Diceros bicornis minor: one gene and its partners. The protein of the gene in region 1 interacts with the protein of each later gene in a pairwise test. Links are inferred from orthologs where the notes say so. Each region holds a gene or a part of one and is shown in the gene's direction. Other genes may lie near its edges.

The links.
Region 2: the proteins of MCM10 (region 1) and MCM6 interact in binary tests that used the Homo sapiens proteins (3 or more experiments, as listed by UniProt). The two-hybrid records come from large-scale screens. The link is inferred for Diceros bicornis minor from reciprocal best matches to the Homo sapiens genes MCM10 and MCM6.
Region 3: the proteins of MCM10 (region 1) and TRIM37 interact in a two-hybrid assay, tested with the Homo sapiens proteins (2 studies listed by BioGRID and IntAct). The link is inferred for Diceros bicornis minor from reciprocal best matches to the Homo sapiens genes MCM10 and TRIM37.

What each region holds. Positions count from the first base shown.
Region 1 is NC_080775.1:13,615,595-13,623,293, forward strand, and holds the start of MCM10 (protein MCM10 homolog), read left to right. Parts: upstream 1-4,674; 5' UTR 4,675-4,699; intron 4,700-6,610; 5' UTR 6,611-6,702; coding exon 6,703-6,709; intron 6,710-7,699. UniProt on the Homo sapiens protein: Acts as a replication initiation factor that brings together the MCM2-7 helicase and the DNA polymerase alpha/primase complex in order to initiate DNA replication. Additionally, plays a role in preventing DNA damage during replication.
Region 2 is NC_080749.1:21,381,869-21,389,553, reverse strand, and holds the start of MCM6 (DNA replication licensing factor MCM6), read left to right. Parts: upstream 1-4,604; 5' UTR 4,605-4,645; coding exon 4,646-4,752; intron 4,753-7,685. UniProt on the Homo sapiens protein: Acts as a component of the MCM2-7 complex (MCM complex) which is the replicative helicase essential for 'once per cell cycle' DNA replication initiation and elongation in eukaryotic cells.
Region 3 is NC_080757.1:28,654,394-28,662,451, forward strand, and holds the start of TRIM37 (E3 ubiquitin-protein ligase TRIM37), read left to right. Parts: upstream 1-5,006; 5' UTR 5,007-5,451; coding exon 5,452-5,472; intron 5,473-5,741; coding exon 5,742-5,879; intron 5,880-5,896; exon of another isoform or gene 5,897-6,339; coding exon of another isoform or gene 6,340-6,345; intron 6,346-7,174; coding exon 7,175-7,276; intron 7,277-8,058. Other genes in the region: SKA2 (spindle and kinetochore-associated protein 2), read left to right, coding at 787-799. UniProt on the Homo sapiens protein: E3 ubiquitin-protein ligase required to prevent centriole reduplication. Probably acts by ubiquitinating positive regulators of centriole reduplication.

The sequences.
Region 1 (7,699 bases):
AGCAGCAAGAGAGAAATCAGGGGAAGAGATAGGAAGATGAAGAAGATACAGTTTTCTTGTCTCCAGATGCTGACATCATGGTGGGAAGAAGCAGAAGACATAAACGATCAGGGTACATTGTGGAAAGTTCTATGTACCCGACCAGTCGAGCGTTCTAGGAAGCACCAACTAGGAATGCTTAGCCCAGGGGGTCCAGAAGAGTTTCACAAAGGAGATGACACCTGGACTGAGGTTGGTTGGATGAGGAGGAGGTGACTAAGTAGTTAGAGTTGACCCCCTGGTTGCAGGCTTTCCAAGCAGAAGGGTTTAACTGTACAAAGGCTCAGAGACAGGCCAGAGCCTGGAATATTTGAGGAAGAGGAAACTGGTCAGTATAGCTGAAAGAAAGACTGACTCAGTGAGGAAAGATAAGAGCTGAGGTTAGTGGAAAAGTAGGCAGGAGTCAGGTCTGTAAGTAAAGGTCTTGAATGGCAAGAAGTTTGGGATTTATAGGAACTGAGGAGCTATTGATGAATTTTGATCGGGGAAAAGCCATGCCAAGATATCGCTGTAATTGAGAGTAACAAGGGAAATGGGTTGGAGGTGGGTGAGACTGGAAATAGGCCAGTTAGAGGTAAAAAGGAGAGATGAGAGCTTAAGGAGGGTCCCCAAAGTGAGGATGTCGAGGAGAGGATGGGCTCAGGAGATGTGAGAGACAATCTGTAAGACTGGGTAAGTGGACATAGAGAATGGGGAACTCTGGCAGGGGTGACCAGGGACGTACTTAGCAATATAGGCCAGCGGCATTTGGGGGAAGGAGGCTTGAGGCCAACTAACCATTCCCACTCTGCTGCCCCTTTCCCTTTCTTGTTTCGTGTTATGTTTTAAAAGGCATCTCCATGATTCTGATGCATTCTAAATTTTAGAAGCACTGCTACAGAAAGAGACAATAATTACAAGGCTGACCACAGAATGTTGGGTTCCACCTGCGGAGTTCCTGATTCAGTAGGTCTGGTGTGGGGCCCAAGCATTTGATTCTAACAAGTTCTCAGGTGGGGCTGATGCTGCAGGTCTGGGGACCAGACTCTGAGAACCCCTGCTCTATAACATTGACATTCGATACTCTCTTCTTAAAACTCGCCTTTCTTGGCATCCTGGGCCATCATTTTCCTGCAGGCCCACCCCTGACACTGGAAAACACTGGGGTCAGAATATAAATGGAGGCCCACATACCCTGTGCATAAAGTTTAAAGTTTATAGATAAAACTAACAATCTCCTTGGAGTTCACACTGAAACACAGCACCTTGAGAAGCGGGCCTCAGCTCTGCAAACCCACCTTCTCTTCTCATCTGGACTCAGTTCTGTAGCTTCTCACTAAGGTAGCCTCTGACCAAGGATGGAGACATGCCAGCCTGCTAGCCACGCTCCCATCACCCCTCTACAACCACTGCCAAACAGCCGCCCTTAGCCACTCCTTAGACAGAGGGATCCACCCCCGAAAGACAACCAGGGGAAGAGGCTAAGCAGGTCCTGGAAGCCAGAGGGCCATTAAAAATCCCACAGTCCCAAGCACTAGAACTCAGGCTACAAGAGGTTGCCCAGGATCTGGATGGGTGCATCCCCTTGGCCTCAGGACTCCTTACCCTGTGTGAGAGACACAGCTGGAAGAGGACCAGAGCAGGGGCACCTGAACCACTCCAGCTGCTCCTGCTCAACTTCTGCTGTTGGCTCCTTTGCTGTACCTCAAATGTTTGTGCTCCCCAGGTTTCTGGCCTTGTACACCAGAGGTTCTTGATTTGGAGGGGTGTCTTCAGGAAAATATGTGAATCCCCTGAAAAGGTATACAAAATCTTGATTGTACGAGTGTGCACTTTTCTGGGGGGACAAAAAAAAAACCCTATCATTTTCACTGTATTCTCAAAGAGGTCTGTGATCACCCCTTGCCAAAAGGTTAAGAAACCACTGCAATACAGATTCTTTGTGTCAGATTTCATTTTAGATATACACAGATGACTCTCAAAGCTGTTCTCCAGTACAGACGTCTCCTTTGAACCCCATATCTGGAGATCAAACTTTTCTTTTTTTTTTTCTTTTTGGTGAGGAAGATCAGCCCTGAGCTAACATCCATGCCAATCCTCCTCTTTTTGCTGAGGAAGACCAGCCCTGAGCTGACATCTATCGCCAATCCTCCTCCTTTTTTTCCCTTTTTCTCCCCAAAGCCCCAGTAGATAGTTGTATGTCATAGTTGCACATCCGGCTAGTTTTTGTATGTGGGACTCCGCCTCAACATGGCGGGACAAGCGGTGCGTCGGTGCGTGCCTGGGATCCGAACCAGGGCACCCAGTAGCGGAGCACACACACTTAACTGCTAAACCATGGGGCCGGGCTCCCCCACTTTTTTTTTTGTTGTGAGGAAGATCAGCCCTGAGCTAACATCCATGCCAATCTTCCTCTTTTTGCTGAGGAAGATTGGCCCTGAGCTAACATCCGTGCCCATCTTCCTCCACTTTATGTGGGGCGCCACCACAGCATGGCCTGATAAGCGGTGCGTCGGTGCGCGCCCGGGATCTGAACCCAGGCTGCCAGCAGTGGAGCTCGCGTACTTAACCGCTACACCATGGGGCCGGCCCCCAAACTTTTCTTAATCAGTATCTTTCACACATCTCTAAAAAAAAAATCTAAACCTATATAAAAAAACCAAATCTGACCCAGCCCTGATGGCCTAGTGGTTCACGGTCGGCGCTCACCACTTCGGCGGTCTGGGTTTGTTTCTCAGTCCTGGAACCACACCACCTGTCTGTCGGTTGCCATGCTCTGGCGGCGGCTCACGTAAGAATTAGAAGGACTTACAACTAGGATATACAACACTGCAGTGGGGCTTTGGGGAGGAAAAAAAAGAGGAATATTGGCAACAGACGTTAGCTCAGGGCCAATCTTTCCCTGAAAAAAAGAATGGAATCATTGTTCTTAAAAAATAAGTAAATAAATAAATAAAATAAATCTATCTTCTCCCCAACCCTGTTCTGTTCTTCCTGTGTTCTCTGCTTCAGTGCCTTGCCTCAAACACACCCCAAGCTCTCCTCTCTTCCCCCATCCCCCCTCCTCCCTGCATCCTTCTCTCCCTCCTAATTTTTTCTCCAAATTACCTCCACCTCCTTCCTCAAAATCACCAGTATACTAATTCCAATCATAATTGCTTGATCCCTCACTTGAGGCAAGTTTGAGGCCTTAGATCAGTACTGTTTCCTATTTCTTGCATGGAATTGGATGCAAAGTGGACCTGGAAACTCAAGGGGAAGAAAAGAACTTCAGAATAAGAATCAGAATTGGTTCAGGAGTGTTGGCATGATGGCTAAGAATAAATCCATGATGAACTTTTACAATTCCATGTGATGCATTTAAAATCCTTTCTTCAGTTTGATTACTATAGTTCCTCTGTTACCGTGAATTTTTCAACACTAGCCACTCTTAAACGTGGTATTGTTCCTATTTCTGGGTCAATATAATAGGTCCAGATAACAGGGCTAAGCTCATAAATGGAGCATTAATACTTGATTAGGACATACAAAAAAAAATCAATGTAGATGGCATCAGGACTGTTTTATTTTCCAGTCATCCTAAAGCTGATTTTAATGTTTCTGAAAATGAAGGTAAACACAGTGGACAGAGATATCATCTTATATGAAATGCATTATCAGTGGGAGAATGCAGTGCCTAAATAGTCTGAGAGAGGGAAAAAGAAAGACTAAAAATAGTCATTTGGTCCATCAAAAACTGTTCTGCTTTTAATTCTCTGAATTTCTGTAGAAGCTACATATTATTCTGCATTTAGAAACTGTGTTCTTGGAATTATGTACAAACACTATTTTTAGACCGTAAATATTTAAGTCTGAATTTTACTAAAACATATTCTGTGAAAAATCTGGTCTCCCGATAAGTTATTCTCAGCTCTGACGCCAGTTACAGTTCTCCAAGTCTACGGACCACGAATTCCTCGGAAACTGGTTTCTACTGTGTCAAATGCTGCCATCCAGCGTCTCCTTCGCATTTTACAGATGGTGAAGCGGAATCCCAACGGGATGTTACTTCCCCAAGGTCAGGCGGAGTTAATAGTCGACCAGATTTTTGTTTGTTTTTGAGTCCAGTCATCTCAATTGGACACAAGGTTGTGAAACAGCCAACTAAGTGAAACAATCAACCGGCTTGTTGGGACTTCTCCACGATCAGTCCCCCACAGGACATCTCGGGGGGCAGGAGTACGTTTGGAACGGGCTCCATGGTTTAAGCGTACACGTGCGGGCTTCTCCGCGTCCAGCGTTACCGTCCACCTCACTGAAAGAGAACAGGAGGCTCGCAAGGATCGGATGACACACTCAGTCCCGGAAAGTGTCAGGAACTGAGTTCGGACCTCCTGTGAAAATGTCACACAGGAAGTCTTCCCGGCGCTGGCCGGGGGCTCCAGAATACTCTTATCTAAAGGAGCCCGCGGCAGCAACGACCGGAAGTTCCCTTGCCCCCAAGAAAGAGGGCGCCGGTCACGGGAGCCAATCAGCTTGCTCTACGCAAGGAGCGCGCGTCGCGCTCACTCGTAGGTCTTCCACTCCGAGAGCTCTGACGTAGCCAATCAGCGCCGGCCCCACGTCTGACGTCAGACGCGGGGATGGGTTAAGTTGGAATTTTGGCGGGTCTGGCTGGAGAGGAGAGTTGGCGCGGAGTCAGGTAAGAAGTGGGGCCTGGGTGTGGGGTGGCCTTCGGGTCGCGGGGGGAGAGGGGCTGCCACGCGCGTCTGCCGGCGAGTTTAGAGAGCTCCGAGGACGGGGGCGCTGAGGTGGGCGAGACCGGAATCGGGCTGCGGGGGGGGGCGGCCTCGGGCGAACGGCCGGCCGGGGGGGGGGGGGCCGCTGGGTGCGGGTGACCGGACGGTGCGGGGCTGGGGGCTGCGTGGCACTTCTGAAATGCATCGGGGAGGCGCCAGGCGTCGGGCTGTCTTCTATATGTAAGGGATCAGGTTTTTCTGTTTAAAAACAACCTTTTAAAACGCTTGCCTAGTGCATGCTGTTTGCACTTCTTTTACTCATTCATTCGTATTTTTTTAAAAATTCATGATTTGCTAATAGTTTTCGAATACGTGCCATGTGCAGTGTTCCAAACACACATTACTTCTGCCCACTTGAAGCTTACAATCTAAAGAGGGTGACAGTTAACAGACAAGTACACGATAGTGGAAGGGGCAGTTTAGTCATGAGGAGGGTGAAGTGGAGAGGATCAACGGGGTCTAGCCAGGTAGGGTGGACTGGAAGGCTCGAAAAAAACTGATAGTTAAGCGGAGACTGAAGGATGAGAAGGAGCAGGGGAGAGCTTCCCAGACAAAGAACCTGAGGCCTGATAGCACTTGGGGTGTTCAAGAAGTTGAAAGCAGGCTAGTCTGGCTGGAGCATCCTTTGTGGGGAGGGTAGAGTTGGGCGGAGTGGACGCCTAGAAAAGATGAGGAAGTGGAAGCAGGCAAGGGGGAGTAGCCATTGCCTCGTAGGCTTTATAAATTTTGTTTTAAGGGCGATGGAAAATCATTAAAGAATTTTGATTAAGGGAATGCCACGATCTGATTTATGTTCCGAAAAGATTACTAAGGAAAGAAAAGACTGTTGTGGCTGTCATAGGGAAGCTAGATTACGAAGAGACAGAGAGACCAATACAGGAAGCTAATACAGTATAGTCCAGTCAGAAGATTGATGGTGGCTTGGACTAGGCTTTGGGTAGTGAAGTTAGGGAAGTGGAAGGTTAGAGCAATATTTTGGAACTAGAACCCATAGCACTTATTGGATGGTCCTAGTTGTGAGGGTGAGGAAGAGTGCATGGGTTTATTAGGGGGGCAAAGGGTGGTTGGTTATAGAAATGAACAAGACAGTTTGCTCCTGATGCTAAAGAAGCTTACAATCCAGTAGAAGTTTACAATCCAATTTCCCAGTAGACAACACAGTGTGGGGCACATGATGGGTCCATGGAAATGTTTGTCGAATAAATAAAAAGAAAGTACCATAATTAATACCTTGACATTGGACTTACCAAGGTCACATATATTATAGAGCACATATATGTTAAATAATAGCCTGGAAAAACTTACACCTTCTGACAATTTTAAAAAATTATTTTAAATGAAAAAAGGAAAGTGCGCGGAATAATATGAATTTATCCTAATTAGCTATGCCAGCTGTGCCTCTGAGCTTTGCTAACTAGTATTGAATAATCCTGATGCGGCTAAGGCTGCAGCTAAGTAGAACCGCGCACTAGGCTGCTAGGGATATTGTAGACATCAAATGTGTTACAATAAATAAAATGGGTTGTTAGCCCAAATATTTAGACCAGCCTCAATAATACCTGTTCCCAATTTGTCTCATCCATATAATCTAGTATCTTTGTACCTCAACCAAGTGTCTCTAGCCATACTTTGAAGACAAGAAAAAGGGGACTGCTTCTGTACTAGGAGGGAGATGGTGTTGGCAGTGGGGGTGAGAAATGGTCAGATTCTGGATGAATTCTGAGGTTAGAGCTCCTGAGATTTGTAAGATTCGGGATTTGTTGGATATGCCATGTGAGAGAGAAAGAAGATCGAGGGTGACTTTTCTAATGTAGATTTCACACAGCCAAGATTCTGCCTTACTGCCATCTCCTGTGCACCTGGTCCTCCTTCCACGTTCTCCATCATCACTGCTCTCTTGACAGCAATGGATGGTAAGTCCTGGCAGTTTTCTCATTTCTCTTTGTATCATGGAAAACCACCTTTTTGTCCCTGGACTTGTTATTTATTCTACTTGCAAAGTAGTGAAAATAGCTACCCCACCCTCAAGTATTGTCTGAGTGGTTCACAAGAGATCTTGCTTCAGTCACCGAATGTTATTTGTTTTAATCAGGTGGGATGTCTCCTTCTGGCAGCAGTAATTATCTTGCGTAATAATGATAGTTGGCGTATACTTAAAATGTGCAAAACCCTGCTCTTAGATCCTTATCTATTTTAACTGATTTAATCTTCATAGCAACCGTATTTTGTAGACAGGAAAATAGATGTTTAGTAGCTTGTCACAGGTGAAACTGTCAGAGCAGGAATTTTAACCCAGGCAGTCTGACCTCAGAGGTCACATTTAGTATTGAAATCTGTCGAAGTGGTTTTAGTTTGGCTCTGACTTAAATTATTACAGTCCTGGGCCGGCCCCGTGGCTTAGTGGTTAAGTGCACACACTCCGCTGCTGACGGCCTGGGTTCGGATCCCGGGCGTGCACCGATGCGCTGCTTCTCCAGCCATGCTGAGGCTGTGTCCCACATACAGCAACTAGAAGGGTGCAGCTATGACATACAACTATCTACTGGGGCTTTGGGGGGGGGGGGAAATACAGTCCTTTCTAATTTTGTTCATTTTGCAGAGATATGCGCGAAATATTTACCAGTAAAGAGATGTTGCTCTAATTAGCAGAGCTTAGCCTGAGAGCAGCACAGAAATGATTGTGATGGCTGTGAAGAGACCCTAGCAAATAAAATGCATTATTTTTTTGGTGTATAATTGAGCTCATTGTCTGAAACTGAATTATTTTTTCAAAATTCAAGTCTATTACATTTTGCCCTTTAAAAAAAAATAGAACCAGATGTTGTTGAAATTCATCATGCTATGATAATATGTGAAATTCATTGCACTTTTGGTATAATGATAATTTCCTGTTTCCTAAAATC
Region 2 (7,685 bases), on another chromosome or scaffold:
TTCAGATGTTCTCTGGTGAGTGCATCTACTCCAAGGCTTCCCCACCATCTCTTCTGAGGATTCCTCAATCTGTTTCTGCTGCCCAAATCTCTCCTAAACTTGAGAAGAAGAAAAAAAACATTAATTTCAACACATCTTTGCTTATATAACTTTTTAAATAAAGTGCTTTCATTTTATAATGTTCTTTATTTTTTTTTTTAAAGATTTTGTTTATTTATTTTTCCCCCAAAGCCCCAGTAGATAGTTGTCTGTCATAGCTGCACATCCTTCTAGTTGCCGTATGTGGGACGCGGCCTCAGCATGGCCGGAGGAGCGGTGTGTCGGTGTGCACCCGGGATCCGAACCCGGGCCGCCGGCAGCAGAGCGCGCGCACTTAACCGCTAAGCCATGGGGCCGGCCCGTATAATGTTCCTTGAATATGTTCTGGTCAAAACCTTGGAGCTGAAGATTTAGGTCATTCAATGTCCAGAAAATGTCCACCCCATAACTCACTTAGCAAAGCCCATCCTCACTATAATCAGCTCAATCAGCTAAATCATACTCAACTGTTTTATTAGAAAAAGATCCAACTTCATTCTTCAATTCAAACAAACATATTAATAGTTGTTTCAAGAAATAGTCTAAAATCCATTGGGACACAAAAATATAGAATACATTTTGTAAAATTGATGATTAAAAGCAGTCAAATCAATATTAAAATAATATAGATATAATGTAATTAACTTGTCCATTTTTTATAATAGCTATGAAAGCATGAATAAATTTATATGCAGTTTCTCATTTCTTAATTTATAATATAAGTAAGGCATAGTTAAAATGATAAGTTACTATGAATTGAGAAGTATGATGAAAGTTTAAATATTTTTTTCAGTAACTCTGTGTGTGTGTGTGTGTGTGTGTGTGTGTGTGTGTGTAATTCCGGTATTCAGCTTCTGGGAAAAATTAAATAAGTATTATATAAAAATAGGTAAAAACTGGGGCCGGCCTGGTGGCACAGCAGTTAACTGCGAACGCTCTGCTTTGGCAGCCCAGGGTCGCAGGTTTGGATCCCAGGCGCTCACCGACGCACTGCTTGTCAAGCCATGCTGTGGCGGCATCCCATATAAAGTAGAGGAAGATGGGCATGGATGTTAGCCCAGGGCCAATCTTTCTCAGCAAAAAGAGGAGGTTTGGCATCGGATATTAGCTCAGGGCTAGTTTTCCTCACACACACCAAAAAGAATAGGTAAAAGCTGCCATCATTCCCACTGCCCTCACCACTACTTTTCATAGACATCAAGATCAAACCTCTCACGCGTAAGTAACTAAAGAGGAAGGCAAATGAATAAAAAGGCACTTAGTCATGGACTGCTAAAAACTACTTGGTCAGCAGCTAGCATACAATTTCCTTATTTTGCTAATAAGAGGTAGGATATATTAAATATTTTATAAGGTAAGGATTGACTCTATTTGGAAGAAAATATTTCATAATATGATTTGATACATATCTTACTGAATATTGCACACAACCTAAAAAAAGTCACATAAAAATTTAATCTGCTGGTTTTATTCAAAGTAAGTTGAAGTGTTGGTAATCTGGGAAAATATTACAGTTAGATTTAAAAGAATCAGCATCATTAACCTGTACTGCTATAGCTGTTTGAAGGAAGGTCCCTTCCCAGCCAAAGATACGTCTCAGGAAAAAGTGCCCTTATCTTTTAAAAATTCATTCTGAAATATCTACATGTGAAATGATATGATATCTAGGATTTGCTTCAAAATCATAAGGGAGTGGTGAGAATTGTACTTTACCTTTGTCTTCCTCCCAAAACCCATAACCACAGTCTAATCACAAGAAAAACATCAGACAAATTCCAGTTGAGGGATATTTTGCAAAATACCTGAGCAGTACACCTCAAAACCACCAGTGTCATCAAAACCAAGAAAAGTCTGAGAAATTGTCACAGACCAGAGGAGACCAAGGAGACATGACAACTCACTATAATGTGGTATCTGGGTGGGATCTTGGAAGAGAAAAAGGACATTAGAAGAAACTAGTGAAATCCAAATAAAGTACGGGGTTTAGTTAAGGGTACTGTACTGAAGCTGGGTCTTCAGTTGTGACAAATGTAACACAGTAATGTAAGACGTTAACAATAGGGTAAAATAGGCACGGAATACATGAAAACTCTGTACTATCTTTTGCAACTTTTAGTAAATCTAGGACTATCCTAAAATAAATTAAGATAATAATAATAATGGAGAGGGAAAAGCAGATGGGGTGGGTGGTTGGGACAGGATTGGCCAGATGTTAATGGTTATTGGGGCTATATAATGGAAGTTCATTATCCTACTCTGACTACATTTGTGTATATTTGAAATTCTCTAATATAACAAGGTAAAAAAATACATATATTGTGTTGGGGGTCCTCAAAACCATCCTCAGGTTCAGAGATTTGCTGGGAGGACTTGCAGGACTCAGCACATAATCGTACCCACAGCTATGATTTATTATAGCAAAAGGATGGAAAATAAAATCAGCAAAGGGAAAAGGCACATGGGGTGAAGTCCAGAGGAGACCAAGCACAAGCTTCCTAGAGTCCTCTCCCTATGGAGTCATACAGAATGTGCTTAATTCCTCCCCGGCATCAAACTGTGGCAACAAACATGTCACATTGTCTAGCAGGGAAGCTCATTAGAGAAGCCCAGGAGTTTTTACTGGGGGCTGGTCACATAGGCACCCTCAACCTAGCACATGTCAAGATTCCAGACTCTCAGAAGATATTCAGCATAAACCACATTGTCGGTACAAATATTTTAGACACAGTGAGCCATGCTTATCATTTAGAGAAAGGGTCTTATCAGCGTAGGGAACTGTTTACCAGTCAGGTTCCCAAATGCCAGCCAAAGGCCAACGTTACAAGCAGGCCTTTCTAAGGATAGCAGTCTCAGGCCTACACACACACACACACACACACACACACAAACACACACACTCCCCGAGGCATACAACTCTCTGGGATATAGCACAGAGATGTTTCATAACTCACACCCTCCGCCTGCCATGGAAGGTATCCCCACAACTCTCACTTGGAGACCTCATCTCCTATTCTGGTCCAGAAGTACAGGCCTGAAGGAGGAAGGGAGGACCTCTGAGGTGTGGAGGGCTGAGAAGAGGAAGTCCCAGATTTCTCAGTGGGCATAGCTGCAAATTAGCCTGGAACTCTGCACTCCTGTTCTTTGTTTTTTTTCCTTCTGTACATGGAACTTCAGTTTTGAAAAATCTACCCTGAGGAAAGAAGAGGAAGAGAAGGGAGGAAAGCAAAAATGGGAAAGAAAAGAATGAGGCCTTTTGAGAGGATGAGGCAGAATCTGGTCAGCAAACTGCTCCTAGATATCCTCTGGATCTGTTCTTAGTGCAGAAGGGTTATGAATATCATGAAGCACCTTTGAGTTTCAGGTTCCTAAAATACATACAAGTGGTGATGGCCAGCAGGCAGACAGATTTTGGAGCTGGTGAAAGGCTGAGGGACACAAGACGGCCAGGGTTCCCCCCATCTCCTTCAAACCAGGTAATACAATCTGATACACTGCAGTACACCAGCAATGAGTATTTTTGTTAAACTTTGTAAATATCTTATGAATAGTGTATTTGTATATGTGTATGTGTGTGTGTGTACTAAAAGAATTACTATAGCTTCCGTTACCCTGTTTGGTATTAAAAAAAATTTTATTTAATATGCCAGAAGTCTCAAAAAATGGAAGTCGCCCAGGATTCTCTTAATCTCTTGGCAGCCCAGGAAAGAGTGCTGGCTGGTGATACACATTTAGAAGTCATCAGCACCCAGATGTTAATCAAAGCCAAGGGAGAGAAGGGGGTCGCCCAAGAGAGCTCCTTTACGGGAAAGGAGGGCTCTGGAACCAGAACATTTAAGGGACTCGCTGAAGAAGAGGCGCCTACAAAGGAGGCTAACCAGGAATGGCCCAAGAGATTCTCCTATCGGGAGAGGAAAGACGGCCAAACAGGCGGGAAGGAAGACCGGGGGGGCGGCAAGCCAAGCCCGCGTTTAAGAGAGGAATTAATCAACAGTGTCAAACATTTGGCTAATTTTCCTCGGTCAGCACCAACCAGAATGATTCTGCCAACTCCTCCATCTCGCCGGTACTGTCTATACATCCCTAGTGGCTCTTTTAGTTTTACCCAGCGGTTTACTGTTTACTTTCTCCAATCAGACGGCTCAAGCAGGAGGTCTCTTACTCATTTTTCTCTTTCACAGAGCCTTACGCCTACTGCTCAGTTAATACCGTGGAATGATTTGAAGAACATTTGAACACCTGAACAAAGATCCAACCTTACAACTTGCTCCAGAAGCCAAATTCCCCAGGACACGACCACACTGCGCAGGCGCAAAGGCAGAAGCGCCGGCTTTCTCCGGGTCTTTGCGTTTGGCGCGAAATCCCCGCTCCGTGGGCGGGGCTGAGGCAGAAGCCGCGCTCATTGGGCAGGTTTGGCGCGAAATCCCCCGGGCTCCTGCGCCACGATTGGCTCCGTACGTCCAGGTGGGGCGAAGGGGCGGGGAGGCGGCGGCGCGCGCAAAGCGACAGCGTCCGGGGGGCAGCGACTTGTGGCGGTCGAGCGTGGTGGCCCCGTCAGCGCTAGGCAGCCATGGACCTCGCGGCAGCGGCGGAGCCGGTCGCCGGCAGCCAGCACCTGGAGGTCCGCGACGAGGTGGCCGAGAAGTGCCAGAAACTGTTCCTGGACTTCTTGGAGGAGTAAGTGTGCGGGCGCCCCTTCCTCGCGGAACTGCCCCTCCCCGCTTCCGGAGCCCGGGGGGCCGTGGGGTCGCTGCGTGTTCGGGAACCGAGGTGTCGCGCGCCTCTCAGAGCGGCCCACGCCCCACTTGGGGCTCAGCCTGGCCGCCGCGAGGAGCCCTGGACGGGCTGGGCTGGTTTCCAGGGGTACAGTCCATCTCGAGCCCTCCCTCAAACTCTTGCTGGGCCCAGTGCCCAGTGCTAAGCGCTTTACTCCCATCGCTCGGTCCTCACAGCCCGTGAGGCCGGTGGTCGTGTAGCCCCGGTGCCCTGCGCGGAAACTGAGGCTCGGTGAGGAGAAGTAAGAGGCCACGCGTCGACAGGGTCGGGCGGGAGGCCGAACTGGCCTTGGAATCCTGGCGGAGCCCTCATTGGACAGGCAGCCAGCACCCGGGTGCTGGGAGCCCCGAGGCCCCCCGCAGCCCTCGGGGCCTGTGCAGATGAAAGTACTGGAGTGAACCCTGGGGTTTGACAGCTGCTCGGTGAGGGTGAGCCCTGCCCTGCTTAAAAGTAGCTGAACGTACGCCCTCCATCCCCTCCTTCCTTCCTTTCCTTCCAACCCCCACCCCCACTTTTTTTTTGAGTTGCCTTCTAGGCTCCTGACCTCTCCTAACCCCCTCCCTGACTTTCCACCACGGCCACAGTTACTTCTCTTAGATAGTGTAGATAACATCACTGCTTTCCCTGAGAGTATGGTCTCTGCTGCCTCCAGGATGAAGTGGAAACACTATGGAATGTCTTATAAAATCCTTTTTTTTAATTGTAGTAAAATATACATAACATAAAATTTACCGGTTTAACCTTTTTTAAGCATAGAGTTCGGTGGCATTAAATACATTCATCTTGTTATGCAACCACCACCACCATCCATCTCCAGCACTCCTCTTCCCAAACTGAGACTCTGCACCCACTAAACAAGAACTCCCCGTTCCTCCTGCCCCCCAGCACCTCGCAACCACCGTTCTGCTTTCTGTCTATGAATTTGACTGCTTTAGGTATTTCATATACTTGGAGTCATACGGTATTGGTCCTTTTGTGACCAGCTTATTTCACTTGGCATAATGTCTTCAAGTTTCATTCATGTCATAGCATGTGCCAGAATTTCCTTTTTCAGGCTGAATAATATTTCATTGTATGTATATACCACATTTTCTTTCTCCATTCATCTATCCATGGACACTTGGGTTGCCTCCACACTTTTATGATTGTGAATAATTCTGCTGTCTTATGAAATTCTAATATACTTAAAACCATAATTTAATTTATAGTTCCTTACCTTTGGTGGTTATTCTCTGCTTGACAGCGGAGAATAGCTAAAGCCTAGCTAAAGGCTCATACTTCCTTTGTGAAACCCTATAAACTTTCCAGGCAGCACCAATCCTTTCTTCCCTTATGCTCCCAAGATGCCATTTTCCGTTATCTCTTGTAATGTAACATTATGTCTTTACCTGTCACCCACTTCATTTTGAATATGAATCCCATCCTTAACCCCACCTAGGCACCACACTACACTGCAAAGGTCCTCAATTAATGTTTCATTTCAACAAATAATATAATTGCCTCCACTGCCTTGCAGTTTACCAGGTAGCTAGATGCTGGGGACAATGATGAACAAGACAAATAATCCCTGTACTTTGTTGGGGGAAAAGATGTTAACTCCCTCTCAAAATAACCAACTTTGATTTGCCATTGCTTATGGAATAAAGGCCAAATTCTTCACAAGTCCTCTTTCCAGTTTCGTCTTCCACAACTGACCTGTCATCATCCACACTCCCCCCCATACCTTTTCTGACTTTGCCACATATTTGCAAACATCTGTAGCCAGTCTATCCACCACTCGTTTTTCTTTAAGATTGTAAGTCTTTCAAGGCTGAATTCCAGTGCCACCTTTTAGATGCATGAAGCCTTTCCAGATGTTCCTGTTAAGCAGAATTAGTTTAAATTCCCTTATCACATTTCTTTTACCTCCTCCTTTTTTTTCTTTCTTTTTCTTTTTTTATTTTATTGTGGAAAGAACACTTAACGTGCGATCTGCCCTCTTAAACAGATTTTTAACTGTACAATATATTACTGTTAACTGTAGGTACAGTGTTGTACAGTAGGTTAGAGCTTATTCATCTTGCTTGACTGAAACTTAATGCCGGTTGATTAGTACCTCCACATTTCCCCCTTCCTCCAGCCCCTGGCAACCACCATTCCACTCTTTGATTCTATGAATTTGACTATTTTAGATACCTTATATAAGTAGAATCATGCACTATTTGTCTTTCTGTGATTGGCTCATTTCACTTAGCTTAACCGTCTTCAAGGTTCATCCATGTTGTCACATTGCAGAATTTCCTTTTTTAAGGCTGAACAGTATTCCATTGTATGTGTATACCACATTTTCTTTCTTTATTCATTTGTCATGGACATTTAGGTTGTCTTGTACCGCTGTTTAGTAGGAATGTCTGCTAGAGAGTGTCAACCCAGGAACAACACTGTCATTTTCAGTTTCAGGTACCTTTGGCATAGTACTTTGCGTATAGATGTTGTTCAGTAAATATAACAGAGTTAGAACATGCTATTATAGGAGAAGGAATTGATTTCACCTCAAAACTAATCTGCGTGTTATGTTAAAAGACCAAAAAGCAAATATGTTTGTATAATACTCCTTTTGGAAACAAGCACACACCAGCTTTATTTTGTGTATATATATGTTTCTGTTTTCCTGAGATCTTGGGCAGTGAAGCACCTCATTTCTGTGTATTTTTATTCTCGTTCTTAAATCAGCAACTAATCTGTCAGTTTCCCTATAAAAATTGAATCTTTGGATTTTAATTTGAATTTCTTGCTTTAACATTTTCCAATCTTAATTATACATAACAGTAATAAAAGTAGTTAGTATTTGTTGA
Region 3 (8,058 bases), on another chromosome or scaffold:
AAAACTGAGTCCTTACATTGTTGAGCTGCTGAATAAACCAGTCTTGAAGTTTGCCCTTTTGTATTTATTGTGCAATGATAATACATTTTCTTATTATTTATCCATTTTGAAATGTGTTTCTATTAACTTGCAGCCAAAAGCCTCTTAATTATCCTTCAAAATTTAGCCTAAGTGTCTACTTCTGAGGAAACTTCCAGACTATTTTTGTTCACACTTCTTTTTCAAAATACTTTTAAAATATAGCATTCAAACGTGACTTCTGGGCTGGCCCCATGGCCTAGTGGTTAAGTTTGTCACGCTCTGCTTCGGCAGCCTGGGTTTGGTTCCCAGGCGTGGTCCTCCACCACTTGTCGGCAGTGTGGTAGTGACCTGCGTATAAAGTGGAGGAAGATTGGCACAGGTGTTAGCTCATGGCTAATCTTCCTCAAGCAAAAAAAAGAGGAAGACTGGCAACAGATGTTAGCTCAGGGCTAATCTTCCTCAGCAAAAACAAACAAAAAAACAAATGTGACTTCTTTGGTTCTGTTAAATTCCAGTCTTAAAATTGTTTCTTGGTCTTATTTCTTCAACTTAATTGCAAGTGCTTTGGAAACTCCAACATCAAAGTACCTTGTATGTAGATAAGCAAATATCTATTTTTTCTCTGCCTTCCTAAATTTGTGATCACATACATACATAGTGTGAGCTTATGGAAACATTTGTTGGTGTGACAAAGGAGAAGTTAACTAAATCAATTTAACAGTCTTTAAAGCTTTTAAAATAAAGATTTTGTCATTTGTTTTCTAGTTATCACCACTGACTGAAGAAGAGAAAACTGCAGCAGAGCAATTAAAATCTCACATGTCAGATTTATGAAGAAATGGACCTGCAAGAGGGAACTCTAATGGAGAAGAGATCAATTCCAGAGAGGTTTAGGAAGATGTCTTGTTAGCAGTTGATAACTAGAGGTGGGGGGATGGTGAAGGAGAAGATTTGGCTTGGGTGACTGGATAGTGTGCCTTTCACAAGAGAGGGGAATATAGGAGGGGCAGATATTATATTAATAATTAGCCAAAAGGATAGAATGGGAATAAAGGGATTTAAAAAATATATGCACATACTCTTAGTCTTATCATTTCAGGCAAGGAATTCTCTTAATACTATTTTGCATCTGTTTTTGTATAATTAGGATAACATAGGTGTCCTGGCCTATTGTAAAAGAATATTTGTGTACTATCAGTCAAACGTGAATGAGCATGCTTTGGAAATTAAAGGATAGAAAAAATATTTGTATTATATATGTAGATAATTTTATTTTGGAAAATTTTGATTGCAAATGTGCTCACATTATCTGTGAGACTAATATGTGACCTACAGTCTCCTACAAAACCTAACTTTAGTAGTAAGCTGGCTTTTCTAAGACAGCCTCACTTTTGTTTCTTTTTTTCCTATTCCTTATGCCTACTAATGTTGAACAGCATGAGCTCTGCTTTCAAATGCTGTTTCAGATGGTCCCTCTTGTATTTCCTTTTTTTTTTTTTTTTGTGAGGAAGATCAGCCCTGTAACATCCAATTCTGATCCTCCTCTTTTTTGCTGAGGAAGACTGGCCCGGGGCTAACATCCATGCCCATCTTCCTCTACTTTATATGGTACGGCGCCACAGCATGATTTGACAAGCTTTGCTTCAGTGCACACCCAGGATCTAAACCTGCGAACCCCGGGCGGCAAAGCAGAGTGCTCGCACCTAACCGCTGCGCCACCGGGCTGGCCCCTCCCTCTTGTATTTCAATACTACCTTTGTTCTCTTTCAGCCTATATTACTATAGTTGTTCATTCTATATGAAAAGTAAGAAACTGAAATCAGAGGAGCACTGGCTATTGCTACTTGCCAGTTTGTGTGTGTGTGTGTGCGTGTATGTGAATTTCCCTATTTATTTTTAAATAACTATGGGCAATAAGGTAATTGTTCAAAGTAGGGACAGATCTTGATACAAAGATGTTAATCAGAGTTATCTATAATAGAAATACACATACATATCCAGCTACTGGTATCTAAATAGGAAAGGAAATCATGTGTATCTATACAATAAGAGGTCAAGTTGCCAATAAATTATTACTGTTAATGTTCTGGGAAATGCTGAAGCTATGCTAAATGGGAGAGAAGAGAAGCACATCTTGCAGTTTTATAGTTAAGATTGGGCTTTGGAGTCATACCTGAGATGTAAATAGCAGGTTTTCAAATCTGGCTATGTGACCTTGAGCAAATCACTTAACTTCTATGTGTCAGGATGGTTGGAAGCACAATGAGATGGTAAAGTGGTTGGGTCTGATATTTAGTAATCCTTCAATAAATGGTTTTTCCATATATGTAATAAAAATAAGGCATTGAAAAGACTAGGAAAAATGCATCAAATGTTAGTTCTGCAGGTTAGAGAATTACACTTTCATATAATTAAAAAAATTTCTGTTGTGAGCATGTAGTTGTCCATTAAAAAACTTATAATAGCTGACAGACACGGTTGGGAGAGTAGCTTCAGTTAAAATTGTCCTGTCTAATTTAAGAACAGAAAGCTCCCCTTTTTTAAATTACAGAGAAATAAGTCACACCTTAGTAACAGATATTAATTTTCTTCAGTATTCAGGCAATTAATATTAAGGAAGTTTCTGTTGGGGGATGGCCCTGGGATATGATATTGATTGGTGGGATTGAAAAATGATAGTATCATGAGGTCATAACAAGTTCCTGGTGTTCAAGTGGTTTTGCTTTCACTTGGGAAAAATACTAGACTGTACTGTTTTTCCTTCCTTCTCAGCTATCTTCGAAATGTTGGTTCTTCCCCTCATCTCCCTTAAAATTGTTCTCTATGCACTTCTTTATATATTCATTTGTTTCCCAAGCTTCATTTATTGTCTCTTTGTGGATAATTCCCAAATATAACTCTTGCACTAGATCTACATCCATATTTCCAATGAAAACCTTTACTTGAGTATTCAAATTGAACACGTCAAAAATACTTACTGATTTCGTTATTGGCCACTATTCTGGTTAGTTGATAAAATCTATAATTTTGTCTCTGGAATGTTCATAGTTTCCAACCTCCACTTCATTCTTACTACCCTAATTTAGACCTTTTATTTCCCATCTGGATAATTGTTTTCTCTTATGTGACTATAGTGTTTTTATGTTTTTAGTTGTAAGTAATAAAAATTAATTTTAATTAAGTTGTTTTAATGCAACTTTAATTTTAAGAAATTTAAAAATACAAGTGTGCCTATTCTCCAGAAGTAATCTGCAGTTTCTTCAGATGTTTCTACATGTATACAAATTAAATTTTTTTTCATTACAAAAATAGGCTGATACCACACATTGTACTGCAGCTGCACTTGGTTTTTTCATTTTAAATATATTTTGGATATCTTCATGTCACAAATCTGCCATTCTTTTGAACAGCTGTAATCCAATATATGGGTGTCCCATAATTTTTACTAGTACTTTATTGATAGGCTTTAAGCTGCATAATAGACAAGTTAGGAGATTTGTCTGGGGCAGGGGCAGTAATGGGGGGAGGGCAGTAAGGTCAGCCTTTAAGGAATTCTGATGGAGCAGATTACAGGCTTCCCAACTCCACAGTGTGTAGTTTAGCATCCTGCCAACTAACTTCTTTTTTGCTTAAGTTAGCCAGAATCTGACTTTGTGCTTGCAACCAATGACTAGCTGTACAGGTTTTCTAATTTTTCAGTTATAAACTATTGTAATAAATCCTGAAACGTTTTTGGGTTCTTGGGCAAATATATCTATTTGTACAAGAACCTATTGTAATATTTATCATATATATTTTAATTTGTCTTATTCTTTTCTACTATACTGGGTTGCAAAGACCATTTCTCATTACTCTTTGAATCTCAAGTAGTGTTCTATAAATTTTTTTGAGGTAAAATTCACATAACATAAAAATTAACCATTTAACATTATTAAAGTGTACAATTGAGGGCATTTTAGTACAAATGGTGTTGTGCTACCATCACCTCAATGTTGTTCCAAGACCATGAATAATTGTTGGTGAACGAATTTTTCCGTCACAGATTAATCTTCCTAATTTATATCTTTGTCCATGGCTCACATAGTTTAAAAAAATTGTTGTTATCCACTACTTATAAGAAAGTCCAAATGCCTTGATACCAAGAACTTCTTTCTAGATTGTTGATTCTCTACATGTGCACTTTAGGTTGGGTTAAGTATAGTAGGTATTTGCAACAAACCAGAATGGAAAAATTAAGTTCAAATTAAGAATTTGATGTACGTCCTTTATCTCACACCTTCAATTCCTGCAATCGTTAAACATCTCTTATGCTAGAGAATTGTAGAAAGCAGACGCCAATAGAAGAAAGTTGAAGACAGCTGATAACCCTTGTGCACTTTCCATAGTTCCAGAGTAACAGCTCACCTCAAGCGGCAAGAAATGCAGGGCTGGGGTGGGGTGGGGTGTGGTATCGGTCTGATGTCTACACAGTCTGCGGTCTTTTCCTCCCACCCCGAAATGAGAAGCCCCACCGGTCTAAGCTTCATGATCTGGAGCTTTGCTTGCGTAGGTGGGGCGGAAGTCTTAAAAACCTGAGAATCTGGGCTTCCTCCCCGAGAACGAACTACCAGCCGAGAATCCTTTGCACCATGGTTTCTCAAAGCGCGGGCCACAGAGTGGTTGTTGAAAACGTGGATTGCATGGAGCCCCACCCTAGAATCACCGAGTCCGAATACCCAAGGGTGTGGCTCCGGAGTCGGCGTTCTCCACTAGCACACCAGGTGCCTCCGGTCATTGGCGCGCAAAACTTTGAGACGGGTGGAGCGCTGCCCCTCCCCCGAGGGGGGCGGGGCGAAGCGAAGCGCTAAGCTCCTGGCCGCCTGCGCTAGCCTGGGGCCGAAGGCACGCAACCCTGCGGCAGCGAGCCGCCAAATCTCGTCTGCGCACCCGCAACGCGGGAACTAGGGGTCCGCCCCGCCGCTGCACTCCCCTAACGCAGCGTCCTGCGCGCATGCGCGCCGCGCCTTCCCTAGCCGCCGCGGCTCCAGCTGCCCTGGTTACCGTTGGTGTTTGCGAACTCCCTGCACCGCCGTCTTCGCTGGAGACCAGCGCCGCCCGGCTGTAGCAGCGGTTCGATACCCCGCGTCACGTGGGCCGAGACTCCCTCGCGGTCGCTGGCGGGCGGCTGAGCCGGGAGGAAGGAGCTGCGGCCACAGCTCGCCCTCCCACTGCGCCCTGTGGCGGGCTCGCGAATAAAAATGGCGAAGGGGGGGTAGCTGGCGCCGAACCCGAAGCGATGGGGCGCGCAGGTGGGACAGTCGTCGGAGCACCCTGACGTGGGCGCCGGGCTGTTCTCCGCGGCGATTTGTCCCGGCGACCTCGGGCCGGCGCCTTCTAGGTCAGTCTACGGACTCCGCGGGTCGCCAAGGGCCCCGCCGAGAGCCGGAGGCAATGGATGAACAGAGCGTGGAGGTGAGGGGGCTTGAGGTGGGTGGTGGTTAGTCTACCCCCCGCCCCCCCCGCTAAGCGTTCTTTATTTCTTTATCCGGGGCGCTTTGCCCTAGTCCTCCCTCTGGTAGGGCACCCCACCCTGCCGCTGTGGAGAGGGCCTCCCCCCGTGCGAAGGACACAGCGCTTATTTGCAGCCTTCCAGGTGCCTTGTGCTCTGGCCGTTCCCGCAGTCAGATGGTTCGTATCCTGGCCTTTTCTGGATGTCTTGGCACCGGTATTCATCCCCACAGGGTTTTTGCAAAGTACAGCGTGTGCAGAGCAAAACTGCGAATTCATCAGATGGACGTGCCCTGCGACTCGCCACCAGTTCTTGCGAGTTTACGCGCGGATCCACATCTTCCGAATGGACAAATCATTCCCGCCCAGCGGTACATTTTGCAGCCCTTCCTAGATTGAATGAAGATATACTCTTACTATCCTATTTGACTGTAGTTTTCCGGAAAAACCTATTATTTTTATATCTGACTCTTGTAAGCTGTGATTTCGAATGGTTGGGATATTTACATTAAGGCTAGCAACATAAAAAAGATTGTTTATTAGACTCAATTATATAATAATTGTCAAATTTTGATCCTTCCAAGTACTAAATCTTTGCTTCTCAGTAAGGGGCAACTATGTTACTGGGCACTCCACTTGGAACTAGTTAACCCAGTGGTCGTATTGGCCACCCCCCCACGTCTGCATGTCACAGGTTCTTTCTGGTCCTGCAGAGTCATGATGAGACTCATGAGTAATTTTTTCCTTAATTCCTCGTGTGAAAGTATCATAAAGGTTTTGTAACCTTACCTTGGTTTTGGGAGAGTTTAATTCTCCTGGAATGGAGTCAAAATGAATGTGAGTACTGTAAAAACAAACATAAAATATATAATAACCTGTATTTAATTGTATCTGTTTTCTTGTCAGTTACTTCCTAAATTGATTCATCTAAGGCTTGCAAAGATAATACTGCTTTTTCTATTTATGTAATTTTTTTTCTTCCCAGAGCGTTCATAGAGCTACCACCAAAACTCAATAGGGGCAGAATCTCAGGCTCAAATAAATAGCTAGTTGGTTTCAGCATCAGGGCAGAAATTTGGATTTCTGGATTCTGAATTAGTTTTTCTCGTGATCAAAGCACACTGCTATTAGGATATGTATCTTTTTAAACCTTTTTTTTTAAGTTATAAAAGCAGTCCATCCTCTTGGGGAAAGTGCAGAAAACAGTAGAAAGTTCATATTGTTCATTCAATTATATAGTTTTTTTTTCTTACTGTTATACATCATAAGCATTTTTCTGTATCATTAAATAATTCAAAAAATATTTCTAGTGATTATCATAATCTGTATTAACTGCCATAGTTTAATTAGTATTTGGATATTTGGGCTAATAGCCAGATTCTTGCCATTATAATTAATGCTTCAGTGAAAATATTTGTGCATAAGTCTATGTTTGCGTTTCATATCTTTTCCTTAGAATAGAATCATTGAAAGCTTAGAAAAAAGGAAGCACCTTTTCCAGGAGACGTTCTCAGGTACCCTGGACCTTGACTAACCAAGTCCTGATATGGTATAAAGTTATCAGCCCAAAATAAATGTAAATATTGAGTGAATTATTTTAAGCATGCCTTTTACTCTTCATGCAGTAGCCTAATGTGGTGGACTTTACATCTTTTACTATTTTCAGAGCATTGCTGAGGTTTTCCGATGTTTCATTTGTATGGAGAAATTGCGGGATGCACGCCTGTGTCCTCATTGCTCCAAGCTTTGTTGTTTCAGCTGTATCAGGGTAAGTTGTATTTCTTTTTACGTGCATTTAGTATATATAGGATATATCGTAAAAAGTAACCTTTTCCTTTATCTTTTTTGTATTTTACATTTTGGACCCTTTTTAAAAATATCTTAAATGAGGGGCCGGCCCAGTGGTGCAGCGGTTATGTGCGCGGGCTCCGCTTTGGCGGCCCAGGGTTCACAGGTTCGGATCTCGGGCACGCACCAATGCACCAGTTGTCAAGCCATGCTGTGGAGGTGTCCCATATAAAGTAGAGGAAGTTACTTTAGGATGTTAGCCCAGGGCCAGTCTTTCCCAGAAAAAAAAGGAGAATTGGCATCGGATGTTAGCTCAGGGCTGATCTTCCTCACACACACAAAAAAATCTTAAATGAATATTCCTTAAGACCGTCGATGTATATTGTTTAGTACAGGGAGATGAATAATCATCAAATGATAACTGCCATGAAATGTCTGGAAATCAAAGCCCAGTGTAATTTAGTATATTTACGTTAAGTCACTGCACATTTAACAAGTAGTTATGAAGTGCTTGCCTGCATTGTGTTTGTGGTTGAGGGATGTTAAGATATGTGAGAAAGTGTTTGCCCTGAAGGAGCTTAAATCTAAGTGAGAGGATGGACTTTGAGTTTATGTTGAAGAATGTGTAGTGTCATAAAGAGGCGCTAACATGGGCCGGCCCCGTGGCTTAGCGGTTAAGTGCGTGCGCTCTGCTGCTGGCGGCCCGGGTTCGGATCCCGGGCACACACCGACGCACCGCTTCTCCGGCCATGCTGAGGCCGC